Arabidopsis thaliana: one gene and its partner. The protein of the gene in region 1 interacts with the protein of each later gene in a pairwise test. Each region holds a gene or a part of one and is shown in the gene's direction. Other genes may lie near its edges.

What was found.
Region 2: the proteins of AT5G05790 (region 1) and AT1G10820 interact in a two-hybrid assay, tested with the Arabidopsis thaliana proteins (one study listed by BioGRID).

What each region holds. Positions count from the first base shown.
Region 1 is NC_003076.8:1,738,936-1,746,184, reverse strand, and holds AT5G05790 (Duplicated homeodomain-like superfamily protein), read left to right. Parts: upstream 1-3,998; 5' UTR 3,999-4,513; coding exon 4,514-4,929; intron 4,930-5,043; coding exon 5,044-5,461; 3' UTR 5,462-5,662; downstream 5,663-7,249. Other genes in the region: AT5G05800 (Myb/SANT-like DNA-binding domain protein), read left to right, coding at 1,434-1,739, 1,820-2,308, 2,397-2,951.
Region 2 is NC_003070.9:3,598,324-3,608,110, reverse strand, and holds AT1G10820 (hypothetical protein (DUF3755)), read left to right. Parts: upstream 1-3,052; 5' UTR 3,053-3,322; intron 3,323-3,427; 5' UTR 3,428-3,460; coding exon 3,461-3,675; intron 3,676-4,089; coding exon 4,090-4,189; intron 4,190-5,055; coding exon 5,056-5,112; intron 5,113-5,651; coding exon 5,652-5,757; intron 5,758-5,860; coding exon 5,861-5,943; intron 5,944-6,133; coding exon 6,134-6,195; intron 6,196-6,301; coding exon 6,302-6,398; intron 6,399-6,617; coding exon 6,618-6,674; 3' UTR 6,675-7,201; downstream 7,202-9,787. Other genes in the region: TIF3H1 (translation initiation factor 3 subunit H1), read left to right, coding at 1-88, 169-226; Z-ISO (15-cis-zeta-carotene isomerase), read left to right, coding at 662-1,072, 1,150-1,296, 1,401-1,610, 2,040-2,375; AT1G10810 (NAD(P)-linked oxidoreductase superfamily protein), read right to left, coding at 7,354-7,689, 7,785-7,887, 7,977-8,149, 8,234-8,434, 8,521-8,742; AT1G10800 (voltage-gated hydrogen channel-like protein), read left to right, coding at 9,243-9,787.

The sequences.
Region 1 (7,249 bases):
AGTCATGTGTCTGCTGCTTTCTCACGATGTCACACTAACGGTTTAGAGAGTGCAATCACATTTTAACCGTTGAGACAAAATGTTTGTTAGAATCTCAACTTTTCAGTCACATTTTCAAGCCATATATATGTCTTCCTAATATATTTTTTTGGTAAAAATCATGTGTTATGCCTCGTTATCTTTCTCTCTCGAAGATTTTCTGTATAACACAAAAAGTAAAGTATACAAGATTTATAACGTGTTAACGCTAATCAGTCCACAAGAAAACCACGAATAGAAAACAAGAAAATACAAAGTCCATAACAGAATAAGCAAAAGAAATCATAAAAAAAAACGAGTAGAAAGCAGTTTGTTCCCTAGTGACGATTTGGGGGAGCTGGAGCTAGCTAGCTATTTCTGTACCATTATTTCTTAAATTTTGGACTAATTTCCATTATTTTTGTATCTGGATTTATACGTTACGGCCCATTTAAAGCAAATGTTATTTATTATTTGGTCGGCACCATTTAAAGCAAATCTTATTGCTGGAGTCCCCTATTAATTTTGGTAATCGTGGTCACCCTCCCCCACAAACTATATCTATACTTATCAATGATGCCGATAGTCACCTAAATATATTTGATTGGAACAATAATCACCTTTTCGATAAACCCATATTCAATTCTCCTAACTCCTTCACATAATCAGCTATAAAAATGTTTCGATAAGAAAGCAAAAAAAACATCTAAGTCGAGCAGAAATTTGAACAAAATCAAGACCGGACCCAACGCAAACCAGTCTCACAGTCTGTGTCCTCTTAACCAATCAGAGTATCTCTTCAAACGGAAACAAATAGTCAGGCAAGAACCGGTGTAATTTATTGGGCTATGACCCATGACCAAAGAACTCGGCCCAGCCCATAACTCTTAGAAAAGCCTTGGAAAATCCGTACAGCGCGGCGCAAACGCAAAAAGCAGAGAAAGAGAGGAAAAATCGCGATCGGCTTCTTCCAGCCACACCCGTCACAGAGTGGCCACTCAATCGCTGTCGCGTTTCCATCAGATTCCCGGTAACGTTTTCCCTTCTTCAGCTTCCCAATTCCCGCCGGCGAAATCCTAACCACTATCGTAGTTTTTCAGTCTCCCGATTAATCGAGTTAGGGTTTCGTGCAATTTTCCCCATTTTCGTGTTCGGTTACTACTGGGATTTTGAAGTAGGCGAAGTCTCAGGTCGCAAAATCATATTTTTCCCTGAAACACGTTTCAAGTAATTGCGTCTGCGTTCTCTGGTTCAATGCCTTGTTTATATGATTTGTGTTCAATATCTAGAATTGTTGGGTTAATGTTTATGCAAATGTCTCTGTCTCTCTGTGCTTTTGTTAAAAACGAGTTCACAATGATAAAGGTATCGTTTTTAATTGTTAGGAGTTTTGGAGAACAGAAGTTAAAAAAGAAATGAGGCCAAAAGCAGTGTGGGAGCCTGAGTATCACAGAGTGTTTGTTGATTTATGTGTGGAGCAAACGATGCTAGGGAATAAACCAGGGACACATTTTTCGAAAGAAGGTTGGAGGAACATATTGATATCGTTTCAGGAGCAAACAGGCGCCATGTACGATAGAATGCAGCTTAAGAACCATTGGGATACAATGAGCAGACAGTGGAAAATATGGCGTAGACTCGTTGAAACTAGTTTTATGAATTGGAACCCTGAGAGCAACAGGTTTCGTGCAACTGATGATGACTGGGCTAACTATTTACAGGTTTACAAATCAAAACCACTTGTTACATTCATTTTTGTTGATTTTATAAAATGCTAAAATGTGATTGCTTTGTGCCGTAGGAGAATCCTGATGCTGGGCAGTATCGGTTGAGTGTTCCGCATGATCTCAAGAAGCTAGAGATTCTCTTTGCGGGTTGTAATGTAGAGGTGAAAAATGATGAAGTCTCGGGTGTAAGGAAGAGGCGAAGAAGTTGTTACGAGGAAGAAGATGAAGATAACCAAAGCATGTGTAGTTCATCTAACCCTCAAACAAAAGGGTATTGGTCTCCGTCTACACATAAGCTGTTTCTTGATCTGTTGGTTCAAGAGACTTTAAAGGGAAATAGACCCGACACTCATTTTAACAAGGAAGGGTGGAAGACGATTCTGGGGACTATTAATGAAAATACCGGCCTTGGTTATACGAGACCGCAGCTGAAAAACCACTGGGATTGCACTAGGAAAGCTTGGAAGATCTGGTGTCAACTCGTTGGAGCAAGTAGCATGAAATGGGATCCTGAATCTCGTAGCTTTGGTGCAACAGAAGAGGAATGGCGAATCTATATTCGGGTATGATAATGTTAGTTGTCTTAACTATTATCCTTCTCCCATTGGACTACATTTTGAACAGATAGTGTTTGTCTTTGGTTTATTACAGGAAAACCCAAGAGCAGGACAATTCCGCCACAAGGAAGTTCCTCATGCTGATCAACTTGCAATCATTTTCAACGGAGTGATAGAACCTGGAGAGACATACACTCCTCCTTCGCGTTCGCGCAAGAAGCTCCTCCACAATCGTTCTGAATCACCACAATGGCGTGACACAACTCCATTATCAAAGATGCACGTAGATGAAGCAGAAACCTCCAGGCAAAATGGTTGTTATGCAGAGTCTCAAGAAGATCGGATAGACAGTGAAAACGCTCAACCATTGGATGATATGAAGTTAATGAATGACGTTATGTTGCAGGAAAGTCCGGTATTCGTTGAGATTGAATCGGCAAAGCCGATGTACAGCATTGGAGAATGCATTAAAAGCCTCAACGCAATTGAAGAGGTCGAACAAGGTAGTGAGCTCTACATGTTTGCGTTGGACCTGTTTCTGAAGAGAGAGTATAGAGAGATCTTCTTAGAGCTGAAGAAGCCCAGTTTGAGAATCGCATGGTTGCAGAGACTTCAATCTACTTCATTTCCTATTCCTACTACAACATAGGTTCAAGTGTATTTTACAAGCCATCCTTTTTGTACTCTGACCTCTGTCTCTGTCTGATGTTATACCCAAAAGAATCGTTCTTTGTTAGTTCTATGAATATGGATTATATAAAAACAGACAGGTAGAGAATCATGTTGATGAACCTTTGAATTGCCTAATTCTTAAGTGGTTTGTGTTAGAATTGTTCTCACTTTCATTCATTAGGAGAAGATATTTAGCATTTAGTTCTATGCATATTACGAGAGAGCAGAACAAGGTTTGGGACACCGACAACAATGGAGTGTGTGAAAGGGGCTTTTGAGTGAGAGTTGATGATTAGAATCTTTTTTGAATTAAAAAGTAGATAAAGCGAGTGACGACAAAAAACAGTACCCAAAGTGGGCAAAAAAAGGTTTAGTCGCATCCCAATAATTAATTACCCCTTTAAGGTTAAGGAGTAATTTTCTAAAAAGTAAGAAACTAAAATTAACGCGCCAGGTAGGGGTCGAACCTACGACCTTCTGCTTAGGAAACAGACGCTCTATCCACTGAGCTACAGGCGCTTCTGCATTTATTATATTTATTCTTTCTTTTTCAATCTTGTTTTTGTGGCGGCTTATGAAATTTCGTAGAAGTATCATTTTCAAGTGGTACGAAATACAAAAAAAGACATAAAGAATAAAGTGTCGTTAAGTTTAAGCTTACGTGTTATCTCGAATAACATTAATTAAGTTACATCTATAAACAATTTGTAGCAATCGCATTGTTTTTGTTAAGTAAAGCAATCGCATTGTTTTTGGTTTTTTTTAGTAAATTTGAAGTTTTTCTCCTTATTTTATGTGTGTTTTATGATTAGTTAAGCCTTAGACATAGCCGACGTATAACACGTAAACTATCATTAAGTATGAACAACTTTATGTGTTGTCGCTTTTATTTTGAATAATATTAGAGAAAAACTACCTAACAAAAAAAAACGGTGTATACTAGTGGTTATTAAAATTTTGGAAAGATATGAAATGTTGGCCTAGCTAGTAGCTAGTTAGAATTTTATAATTGAAGTTTATTGTTATTTTTAGAATTCGTGTCATTGTGAAGAATCCTCTTTGGAATAAAATGAAGCCAAGTAGGGGAGTGGAGTGGTTCCATTGGCTAAAACTTTTACACTCTCTCTTTCTCTTTATAACACAAACCACAAATACCTTCTTCTTCTCTCCCTTTGCTTCACAATCTCTCCCTATCTATCTTACTGATTATCTCTCTCTACCATCTGAGTTTTGCCTGTTTTGTATTACTTTGACGACCCACTTTTGCAGATTCTCAAGGATTCTTCAAAGTCTTAGTCTTTTGTGTTTCTTTCCAGATTCTTCAATTAATATACGCTATAATCTCTCACTAAATCAGGTTCTTTGATTCCATCATTAAACTATTCGTTAGTTTTCCCAGTTTGATTCCTATATATCTTTAGATCCTATAAGAAGCTTCAGTCTTTTACTAAACCCACAAATCAAGCTTCCAAGAATTAGAGGAAAAATATTAAGTACTTTATTTTATAGGTAGAACTTTTATCTCGTAGCCTTTAAACGATGGAGACTCTGCATCCACTACTCTCGCACGTGCCAACTTCTGACCACCGGTTTGTAGTTCAAGAGATGATGTGCTTGCAAAGCTCGAGCTGGACTAAAGAAGAGAACAAGAAGTTTGAGCGAGCTCTTGCTGTCTACGCTGATGACACGCCTGATCGCTGGTTCAAAGTTGCTGCTATGATCCCTGGAAAGACCATATCAGATGTCATGAGGCAATACTCTAAGCTTGAAGAAGACCTCTTCGATATCGAAGCAGGACTTGTCCCGATCCCGGGTTACCGTTCAGTTACTCCTTGTGGATTTGATCAGGTTGTGAGTCCACGTGACTTTGATGCGTATCGTAAACTTCCTAATGGAGCCAGAGGATTTGATCAAGACCGTAGGAAAGGAGTTCCATGGACGGAGGAAGAACACAGGTGAACAAAGTTTTCAATCTTTGTGATCCTTGTTTCACTCTTCTTTGGTGTCTTGAGTTGCAAGTTACTTTGTTTTCTTGGTTTGCTGAGACCTTGTTTAATTGTTTTCTGCAGGAGATTCTTGTTAGGGCTTCTCAAGTATGGGAAAGGAGATTGGAGAAACATATCGAGGAACTTTGTGGGATCAAAAACACCAACTCAGGTTGCAAGTCATGCCCAAAAGTACTACCAAAGACAGCTTTCCGGTGCGAAAGACAAACGACGGCCTAGCATTCACGACATCACCACCGTCAATCTTCTCAATGCCAATCTTAGCCGTCCATCGTCTGATCACGGTTGCTTAGTCTCAAAACAGGCCGAGCCGAAACTAGGGTTCACCGACAGGGATAATGCAGAGGAGGGAGTTATGTTTCTTGGTCAGAATCTATCCTCGGTCTTCTCTTCCTACGATCCTGCCATTAAGTTTTCCGGAGCAAATGTTTACGGTGAAGGAGGTTACTGTATCTCACAAGATCTTGAAACGAGAAAATGAGAATTTTGAAATTTTAACTATTGCAACGAAACCATAATTATGTTTTATTTAAAAAGTTATGTTACATTATTAGAGGAATGTGAATATGTATGTCTTGTATTTATGGAATAAACATATATTAGCTAGTATATATGTCTCTTTGCCAAAACTATCAATAATGGTGAAAAGGACCAAGTACCGGGTTTATGGCTTTACTTGCAACTTTAACGGTCAGTCATTTTCTTGGAAAATTGTCTCTAAACCTGAACATTTGATCGATGATAGTAGATAAATTAGTATAACATTACTCATTTACGTTTTATATTTTCTTAAAATGATTCATCACAGAACTATACACAAATACTGTTTTCTAAGGTAAGAAATTGTCTTTAGCAAAAAGAATGTATAGAATTTTATGTAAGAAAAAGGAATTAAAAAGTGAGGGTTGGATATATTTGTATGTGTGTGTATGGGTGGCAAAGCTGACCACTAACTTGTAAACGGTATATAATTAGAAGCTGAGTCTGCATTCCACTTTCGGCACACAGAATCACATTCTTTTCACCTATTACACCAACCCTTTGCTCCCTCAATTTTGTTAAGTTTATAAATAAATTAAGGGTGTCCTTGGATATATTATTACTCTTTACAAACAAAAATAGCAGTTTAGTACAAGTGGAACATATATACAAGCTCCTGTTTTAAAATTATTTTAAGAATGTTTTTTTTTTTCCGTATTTCTTTTAGTTAATTTAATAAAGAGCTAGAAAATGTGATATATGTTTTCTTTCATATCAGAAGGAATATATAATGCTTTGTTTTTTCCCTTCTTTTTGTGAAAGAAGTCAAGTTGGAATTTATTAAAAAACATAAACAAAAGTGATTTAGGAAATTTCATTGGATGAACGAATCGTTAAAGATACTTATTTTTGTGCAAATAAAGAGAAGTTATATTGAATCGCTTTGTTATAAATTTGAAAGCTTTTAGTTTTCTAATTAAAAAATTTGAGAATATAAAAGAAAAGCTCACTTTTTAATCACGAACAGTAAGTAACTACTAACTACGTAATATGATTACTCTATCTCCATATATTAATTTGATTTGATCAGTAATAGTGAATAGTATATACTATATATAGTCACTTTAAGAGCATCCGAACCTTATTTATTTTTTGCATGCGGGAATAAAACCCTAAGATACTACTTAATAATGTAGGTCGGTTGGAGTCGATATAATTCTAACACCACCTATGACATTCATCGATGAAGATGATGAACCATATATATTTTTAACGAAAGTGGCATCACACAATTCAATTTGTTATTTTTTTTTCGTGGCTCCACTTTTGATGAGGCGTTTGAATGGAACCCAATGAAAGGTCAATCAATAATAGCCGTATAACTTATAATATGTTTGGATCATAAAACTGAGAATTTTTGTATTGACACCTTTCTATATATGTCTATTTAGTAACACTCAGAACGTTCTTTATATAAATTAATCACTTTGGTTACTTCGTCACTATGGATTTGGTCACCTCAATGGGATATGCGACCTAACCACTAACTAACATACTAATATGAAAGTCGTCTTCTTGAATGCTTACGTCACGTCTGTATAGTATACAACTACATTGTTACTTTTCGTAGTGAGCTACGTTATTTTGATTTTTATTTTGTTTACACAAAATTATAACGGTTTCGATTTTTGAAACTTTTTTCTTATAGATATCTAAGTAAAACAGGACAGTAATATATTGATTTGCAAAATGAGTATCCTTAACAAGGATTAACATAATACACAATAGA
Region 2 (9,787 bases), on another chromosome or scaffold:
CAATCTTTAAGGCGATCCCTGAACCATCTAGGCTAGAGAGTTTCCTCATCACAAACCAAGTCTCAAACTTCTGTGGCCAAATCAATGGGTATGTTCCTCTTTAGTATTGTTTCACCATTTTTGGAGCTTTGAAAGATACTTAAAATGAGTCGACCTGTTGTTATGCAGAGTGGCTGGCCAGAACTTCAGCAGGCTTTACCTGACCAAAGCATTGCACGACAACTGATTGCAAAGACTACCCAAGTTTTTGTTTTTTGAGTCAGAAAGTGAAAGACTTGGTGGTAGAATGGATCCTATATTTGTTTTTCGTGGATGTTTTTGTTTTTATTTTTGTTGTTGTGAAGTAATTTAATTTACAAGCTTTTCAAAAAAAATCTTTATTCTTATGCATAATGAAAAATTATTGAAGTTTTGAAAGATTTATCTTGTATTGGACCTCTGATTGCCTTACAACAAATTATACATAGTTATCAAAATCCTAATCAAAAGAGTAAAAAATCTAATTTATAGAGATTTTATTATAGTTGTAGTGTTAGTTCCATCGCTAAATCCCTTGAACGACAACGTTTATTATTTCTTCTTCGGACGATTGTTTGAAGAAATTTAAAAACGACATCTTTTTATTACTTCCTCTTCGAAAGATTGTTTACCAACAAGAACAATGGCGGTTTATCATCTCCTTCTCTCGAGCCCACCTTCGCTTCTTCTTCTCCCTCCTTCTCCTCGCCGCCCTAACCTCACCTTAATCCGCCGTATCCCAGCTCATCCTCGCCTCGGAAACTCGACCAGCTTGCTTTCTTCTTCGTCACCGGTAATTCGGAAAATTCTGGTTCGTAGCACTCTCCGGGAAGACCAACCCATCGCCTCTGACTCCGAGAGTAGTCCTACTCTACTGATCGGTGAAGATTCTGCTGCTTTTGAATTAGGGAAACAGAAGCTTGTTTCCTGGGTTTATTTCGGTGTTGTCCTTGGAGTTGTTCTCTTTATCCTCAATGTTGTTTGGATCGATAATTCCACCGGTTTCGGAAAATCATTCATCGACGCCGTCTCTAACATCTCCGGCTCACCGGAGGTATAGATCAATTTAACAGTAACTGAACCAGTTTCAATTTCAGTTATTTGATTGTTAAAAACCACTTGTTTTTGCAGGTTGCTATGTTAATGCTTATCCTTATATTTGCAATTGTACATAGTGGTTTAGCTAGTCTAAGGGATATAGGAGAGAAACTTATAGGTGAACGAGCATTTCGTGTTTTGTTTGCTGGAATCTCTCTTCCTTTAGCTATGAGCACCATTGTGAGTACTCTCTCTTCTAACTCTGCAATTTTTCTCCTGATCAATGGTATAAATACCTGTTTGATGTCTCTTATGGTCTATGCAATGCCTTGTTCTTCTTTCAGGTTTACTTTATAAACCATAGATATGATGGGTCACAGTTATGGCAGCTTCAGGGTGTTCCTGGAGTCCATGAAGCTATTTGGGTCGCTAATTTTGTATCCTTCTTCTTTCTCTATCCTTCAACCTTCAATCTTCTGGAGGTAGCAGCTGTTGACAAACCGAAGATGCATCTCTGGGAGACCGGCATCATGAGAATCACTCGACATCCTCAGGTTTTGAACATTTCCCTAATGTGCCTAAACATGAAGACAATTTCCTTCATTTTTGTGTTTCAAAAATACAGAAAGATTGGATTTTTATGAGCCAAGGTTTATTAGTGGCTGTGTTAATGAGACCCCCAATCATTGAATCAATTATGGGCAGGTATTGGCCATTGACTTAAATACACCCATTACATCAGCACAATCAAATCTCCTCATCCTTCTATGTTTATTACATCAATGCTTGATTACTTTACTTGATATTGCTTTTGATCTTAAAATTCTTATCCAATTGCTTCATCATGTGTTTGGAAAAACTTGATAATATATAGAAAGATAGGCATTTTAGCTTCAGTTTTGGTTTGTTCTATTCTCTCTTCATTATACTGGCTTTGTTAATGAGACTTGATTGTTGCACCTCTCTCCTCTGATCTTCTCCAGATGGTTGGACAAATCGTTTGGTGTTTAGCACATACTCTCTGGATCGGAAACACAGTAGCTGCATCAGCTTCTCTCGGTTTGATTGCACACCATTTGTTTGGGGCGTGGAATGGAGACAGGAGATTGGCAAAAAGATATGGAGAGGATTTTGAAAGCATCAAGAAGAGAACAAGTGTGATTCCATTTGCTGCCATTTTCGAAGGACGGCAAGTTTTACCTGAGGATTACTACAAAGAATTTGTCAGGTTGCCATATCTTGCAATCACTGCGTTAACGGTTGGGGCATATTTTGCTCACCCGCTAATGCAAGGTGCAAGCTTTAGGCTTCATTGGTAAATTATATGTCATGCTTTAGGCTTCATTGGTAAATTATATGTCATTTATGTTTGTTTGTTTCCTGCAGTGTTCATAAAGACTTGTTAAGGAACAAATGTATACAAAAAGCCATATTGTTTGTGATACTTGACTCTTCTTCATTTCTCGATTATTTTGGCTCAACACTCTGTAACCACTATGTGTGAGTTCGATCCAACAAGTGGGTTTAGATTAGTATTAACTAGGAATGTTTAATAGTACTGCTAAATGAATATTTAGGTAAAACTATTTTGTATATAAATTCCCACTCAGATGTCATGGGTCACTCTGACGCCTACCACTATACTAATAGAAGTAAATTTTTCTTTTTTCGATGTTTAGTTACAATCGGAAAATGAATCTAAATTTTAACTAATATTAATAATATGCCAAGATCTCCATCCAAATCTAGATTGATATCTACATATTGATGCCTTGATATCTCTAAACTCTAAAGATAAACTTAAAGGCAAGTGATTAATTGTTAACTAAAATTAAAAATTAACAATACAATTTTAATTCGCTAGTTATAAAAATTTTATTACCAAGAAGAATATGGAAAAAAAGGAATTGGAGGCAAAAAAAAAAAAAAAAAAAAAAAAAGAGGCCAAAAGAAAAGAAAGCAAAGGAGTATGAATACAACAAAGAGGTTCTGCAAGAAACAAACAACACAGCCAATTACTACTAAACAAACACACTCTCTCTTTCATTCTTTCTCTCTCTCTCTCTCTCGATTTTCTCCCATTGGAGTTCGCAATTAGCTGCCACTCTCTGATCGATCTTCTTCTCACATCACATCCTTTATAATCTTCAGTTCTACTGCTCGGAGGTGTTTGCTTGCGTTCTCTCTTGTCGGTCACATCCCTAATTACCATCACTGCCCCTGATTAAAGTTTTACTCTATCTTCTTTGTTGATGCCAAATCTGAGGTGGGTTTCTCATCTTTTTATTCTTTCAGCTGTGTTTTGTTTCATTTATTTGTTTCTGGATTTGCTAAAACCCTAAATTTGATATCTTTGGGGGCATCATCGTAGCTCAAATCAGCTTCAATTATCAAATCTCCACGAATGATTCCAATGGATAATCACTGCTTGCCAAGTACTAGCACCACCGGTCTTGTATTCCCGACCAATTACGGTGTTAATGCGATTAACGCTTCCTCCGGTTTTCACCCAGCTGTGGATGCTTCGGGTTCAGTGGCTGCAGGAGTCAAACAAGAAGCTGCTTTGGTTATGGATTGGTCCGTTGAGGAACAGTATGTTTTGGAGAACGGCCTTGCAAAGTAGGTATCTTCGTTTCTGCTTAATTCTTTGGATATTTCCATTTCTTATTTTTTTAATATCCTAAATGTGTCTTTGTTCATTCGTAGCTTTTCAAACTATGCTTATATTTTTACAATAACAATACATAAAAGTTGAAATCGGGAATTGTTTTATCAGAAAAGTAGTAGTGGGAACATTATATTCTCAATGGTGGACTATTAAAGTATGTTCCTTTGTTCCTTCTGATTATAAAAGTATCGCCTTTGTGTGTTCCATGACATTGTTTTCTGGGACTGGGACCATTAGTAAGTTCGGGTTAAGTTATCGATTTTCTAGCTGAGGTTGTTCCTGGTTACTTTGGTTTTCTAGAGTCTGTAGCTTGTTTGTTCTATTTGTTTGCATTTATGACATCTTTATTTTTTTTCCGTTTGTAGATTAAAAGATGAACCCAAAATTTCAAAGTATGTAAAGATCGCTGCAACTCTACCGGATAAAACTGTAAGGGATGTAGCATTGAGGTGTAGATGGATGACGGTAAGTTGGTTAAGCTTCCTTGAGCTATGTGCATACTTCCTGTTGTTTATGTGCTTTTGCTTAGATGACAAGAAAAATTACCACTCTAGACGTCTCTCAAGGATATTTCTTTTGCTAGGGAATTACTTAGTTGTCTCTAGCATTCCTTTTCAAGTGGTATGTGGCTGTTATGGAAGGATTTTTGTTGAAGGATATTTCTGTCACTGTTAAAAGCATATGCTAAATATGAGGGAATCAGCATGATGATGCAATCTTGCGTGTGTGCTTTGTGATAAAGATAAAGTCCTACAAAAAAAGCTAGCGGTTTTATTGATGAAAAGTCATTGACATGTCGTAAAGATTGTCTAAACACTGGTAAAGGACGAGCAAAAAGAGAAAATGACAAGTATTGCTGACGCTAGATTAGTCTTTATATTAGCTTTCGAGTCCATGATTGTGGAGGAATTATTGGAAAAGGAAATAAGCCTAACGCTTTTTGTTAATTATTTCTGTAGTTATCCTCACATAGATTTTACTTTTACGGGTGATGGCTGAGACTGATCCCTATACTTTTATGGTTTTTTTTTTAAAATGATTATATTGCTCGCAGCATGAGTTTACATACATCATAATGTTAATTGTTTGCATAATAATGAAATGAATTAATGAAGTACAAATGTACAATGCTTTATTATCATCATATTTCCATCTCCTTCATGTCTCTGTCCTTTCATAATTGACTTGAGTTTTCAATCAGATATATGATGTAATCAAACATAAAGCTGCAAAATTACTCCGTTTTCTTTTAATTTAGTGCTTGTTTGCCACCAGATATCTATCATGGTCTTTAAAGTTCTCTTGGCTAAGTCGGGTATCTATTTTCACAGAGAAAACGGAGGAAACGAGAGGATAATAATGCCGCTAAGAACATTAGCACTAGGAAGGTATGCTTGCCCACCTCAACCTTTCTTGTGTCGTATTTACCAGTTAATAAGTCGATGGAGGTAGGTGCCTCATTTACGTTTTGGGTTAAACGGGATTTTCCCACAGATGTGACTTTTATTCATGCAAGTCTGAGCTAACGATGGTATTTTTCAACGAAGAAACTGTAATTGGCTAAATTGCTTGTATGGTGGACTTTTCATGAGAACATATTTTGTTAGTTCCTGACTAAGAAAAAGGACTGTCTGCATGACTGGACAATCAATAAAGTTTGTGATCGATTTTTCAATGACTGACGAGCAGCAAATGATGTTGATCCAACTCTGCAGAAGTATTAGCATATATTACTTATGAGTATCTGAGCTTGTGGGCATGTTTATAATGATAATTATAAGGTAATCTAGTGATTGTTATGACATTTGATAAAGGGTTAGTGTGTGTGTTTCATTTCATGCACATTCTCCTTCCTGGGTCTTATGAACTTCTGTAGATCAATATGCTTTTAAACTTGGTTCTAAAGACCATGCTTCTTCATGGTAAGGTGGTGGATACATCCCCAGAACTGAACATGCTATCCAATGTGCCACAACAAAATGCTTTATATGTCCTGAACAATATGTGCCACAGTACACGCACGCCTTTCGAAGGTCTAGTGCTCTTTTAATTCTTTGCTCTTCTTCTGGGTTGTGTGGTCTTAAAAATAAACAAAATCAAATTGTCAGCTAGGTACTTTTGTTGAACTATTCGCAGGTTTAAGTGACGCAGTAATGGATCTTCTACAGCAAAATGCTCAAGCTTTTAGTCAGATTTCTTACAACCTCTCTGCGTGCAAGGTAATTTATACTTGCAATCCTTTGTGGCTAGTTGTGCGAGAAGATTGACAGACTGAAACTGTCATACAAGTTTGATCAAACATTGTATACCAGATTTCCTACATGCTCAGTTATTCTTTAGAAAATAATTTGATACTGTTTCCTTTTGCAAAGTAATTCGCACATAGATATGCTAACTTAGTGCATACAGCTGCAGGATAACATCAGTCTCTTTCATCAGGCAAGAAACAATATCAGCGCCATTTTGACTGAGTATGTGGATCTAATACTAATTCAATTTTCACAATTGAGACATCTCATCTGTCTTCCTTTCTATAATTTAAACCTTCAATTGCTAAATTCTTAGTTTCTTCTGCAGCATGAAGGAGATGCCTGGAATCATGAGTCGGATGCCGGCTCTACCGGTTTCAATTAATGATGATCTTGCAAGCAATCTATTGTCGAGTACAACACAGGTAATATATTTTGCTACATATGTCAAAATAGCTAATCCTGAAAAGTTCGCCATGTGACCTCAAATAATTAGAGCTTCTTGACCCAAAAAGTGAAACATATTAAGATATAAATATGAACATAGAAACCATTAATGTTTTTTAGTTTTATTGATCTCTTGAGGATTTCTCTTGGAAGCTGGCCATGCCTGATGTTTAGTGGATTGTTTCCCTGTCTCACAGCCAATATCGTACAACATTCCACCAAGCATCCACCTGAAGCAAGAGCCAAGAAGTTGATGGGGAAATCCGGATTTTGACCGATACTAAAGTAAATAGTACAAGAGCCTGGTACGTGGCAGTATTTCCGTGGACGACATGGCAATGTTTATCAACTGCAGACACCGCTTCAGAACATGAGATTCAACAATCAGTATTGGTAAAATCCTTTTGCCCTCGGGTAATTTGACAGAGAAGAATGAATTAGACTCCTTCTAAAGCCAAGGTAAAACTCTTTGATACGAACAAAATGCTTTGGCCGTAATTCGATCATAGGATTCCTTGCAATTCGTAGAAGACGGCATAGGTTGATAGAACTCAAAAGTCTTTTGCTGTAATCTTCTTGTTGAGGCTTAAATTAGTATAGTGACAGTTCTTTTGAGTGGTATTCAGAGGCCGGTTATGTGTAACACAAGTTCTAGTTAAGGTAATAATTTATCATCCTCTAGGTACGTATACGTTATCTTCATGGTTTAAGTCGTGATGTGACACAAATCATTGTATATACGCATTGTCACCTGTCTCAATTCATTGTTATAATGTTTGCAGAATCTTCAGTCCTTATTAGAGATTTACTTTTAAAAAGTTTCATTAATTTCAGACAGAAACAGACAAACAATAATGTAGCTTAAAGACGATGATGAAAAGTAGTTCAGAACATAGCTCAGCACGATGGCAGAGTAAAACTATTACAGATGGTTTATGAAGTCCAAGAAGACAGTGGTGGAGTTTCAGAATTCTTGTAAGTAACTATATAGGTGGCTGACCTTTCCCCTTTCACAGAATCGGGATGTCCCATGGCGTCAAGCTCGGCCATCTCTTCGATACTGAGTTTCACAGATAAAGCTCCTATGTTCTGATTAAGGTTTTTGATCTTAGAGGTTCCTGGGATTGGGCAGACATCATTTCCTTGGTGATGAACCCATGCCAAAGCTAATTGTGCAGGAGTACAGCTTTTCTTCTCTGCCATTGCATTGACCTTCTCATAGAGAATCTTGTTGTGGTCTAAGTTCTCTTGCTGGAATCTCGGTAAACCCTGAAATTAAGAGATGGTGAATGTGCTTAATACTCGGCTCTTTTCTTGAATGTACTTAAAAGAGATGGTGAACATTCATATAGTGATGGACTTGCCTTTCTGTAGTCACCATTGTCCATACTCTCAATGAATTTTGGTCCTGCAGCAAAGAACCCCAGTCCCAGAGGACTGTAAGCTACAATTCCAATCCCGAGCTCCCTGGAGAAAGTAATGCAAAGAATGAACATTACAAGAGGAGGATATAAAATTATATCAAGGAAGAGGGATGTTTGCGGAAGATTCTGCACCTGCAAGTAGGAATGATGTCTTCTTCAACGTCTCTCGACCATAAAGACCATTCCAACTGCACAGCGGTTAGCGGGTGAACAGCATGGGCTCTTCTTATAGTCGAGGCACAGGCTTCAGACAAACCAATGTACTTTATCTTACCCTCTTCAACTAGCTTCTTCAGTTCTCCAATCTTTGAAATGGCAGGACAAGACAACACCATAACAATCAGCTGAAGGATTCAAGAAAGAAGAAAGATTGCCAAGAAAAAGCTTACAGTGACTTCAATGGGGACAGTGGTATCGATCCTATGCTGGTAATAAAGATCTATGCAGCTAACTCCTAAACGCCTTAAGCTTGCTTCACAGGCAGCTCTCACATAGGCTGGATCTCCCCTGTAACCCAATTTCTGATCTTTCAAGAGAAGCCCAAATTTGGTTGCCAATTCCACCTTCTCCCTCATCCCATCTTTCAAAGCCTGATTACATTCACATAGCCAAGCAATTTCAAATCCTAGGCAACTCAATAGTGTATGAACAAACATAGGATATCTCGAATTCAAACCTGACCAAGGAGCAACTCGTTGGTCTCAGGACCGTAAATGTCGGAGGTGTCGAGGAGTGTGATGCCGGAGTTAATGGCATGGTGAATGAGAGCAATGAGATCTGTCTCAACCTTGGTAGTTCCATCGAAGATGGAAAGTCCCATACAACCAAGACCTTGCGCTGACACTTCAAGACCTTGGCTTCCTAGCTTGATCCTACGCACTCCACTTGCAGCTGCCATGGATTCAAATCTCTCCAAGTTTTTAAAAAAATTCTCACACTTTTGCAATCAGTAAAAGAGAGATCTAATTTGCTATCATAGTCAATGCAACAACGAAATGGAAGTCTTGAGAAAAAAGGCTCAAAATAAAGTTGTCCACGTTGAACTAATAATAATGAATTCTCTCTGCATTCATGGCGTCAAAGACGGAATAGTCTTGTAATAAACTTTACGTTATTTGCAGTATTTTTGATATATGTAACTTTTAATTGAAAATCTGTTGGTCATTTGTAGTTTGAATTTTTATCTTCAAATTGTGTTAATAGGATTGTCTTTCAGATTTGGCAAGTGTGTTTCTTCACTTAAGAAATAAATAAAGCTTGTATCATATCTCAACCTTACTTGCCTTTCAAGCCATCTTTCCAAAAATAATTAATTTCCTAAAACTGTTTAAAATGGTTGCCTTCCTTTAAAGCTCATATCATCATCTATCAACAACTTCCAAAACTTTTCATCTTTTGATGAACATCATCAACACCGGAACAGTTGATAATGTCGAATTCTCGATCCAAAACCTAATCAAGAGTTGGTGCAGACGACGGAAATGGAGGCAACTCTGCAACTTCTCCCCAAAACAACAACAAGAAGAACTCATCTCTATCAACCAACAATGGAGAATCACTTTATCAAACTTCCTAGAGTCATACCAAGTTCACCTTTTCACCATCTTCTTGCTCTCTCTTGACATCATCTTAACGTCCCTCGAATTATCTTCTTCTCTGCTATCCTGCACATCAGTCAAGAAAACCGAAACCGAAAATGAATGGTTTCGTTGGGGAGGAACCGTGATTCTGAGCATTCTCGCCGTTAAATCCATGGCTCTGGTTGTTGCTATGGGGAAGTCATTCTTCAAACAACCTGGATGTGTAATGGATGGTACTCTTGCGATTGTAGCTCTGATTCTCCAGGTTCTTCTTGAGAAGAAAGGAACCGGGTTCATCGTGGTGGTGAGCTTGTGGCGGGTTCTGCGGGTTGTGGAGACTGCATTTGAACTTAGTGATGAAGC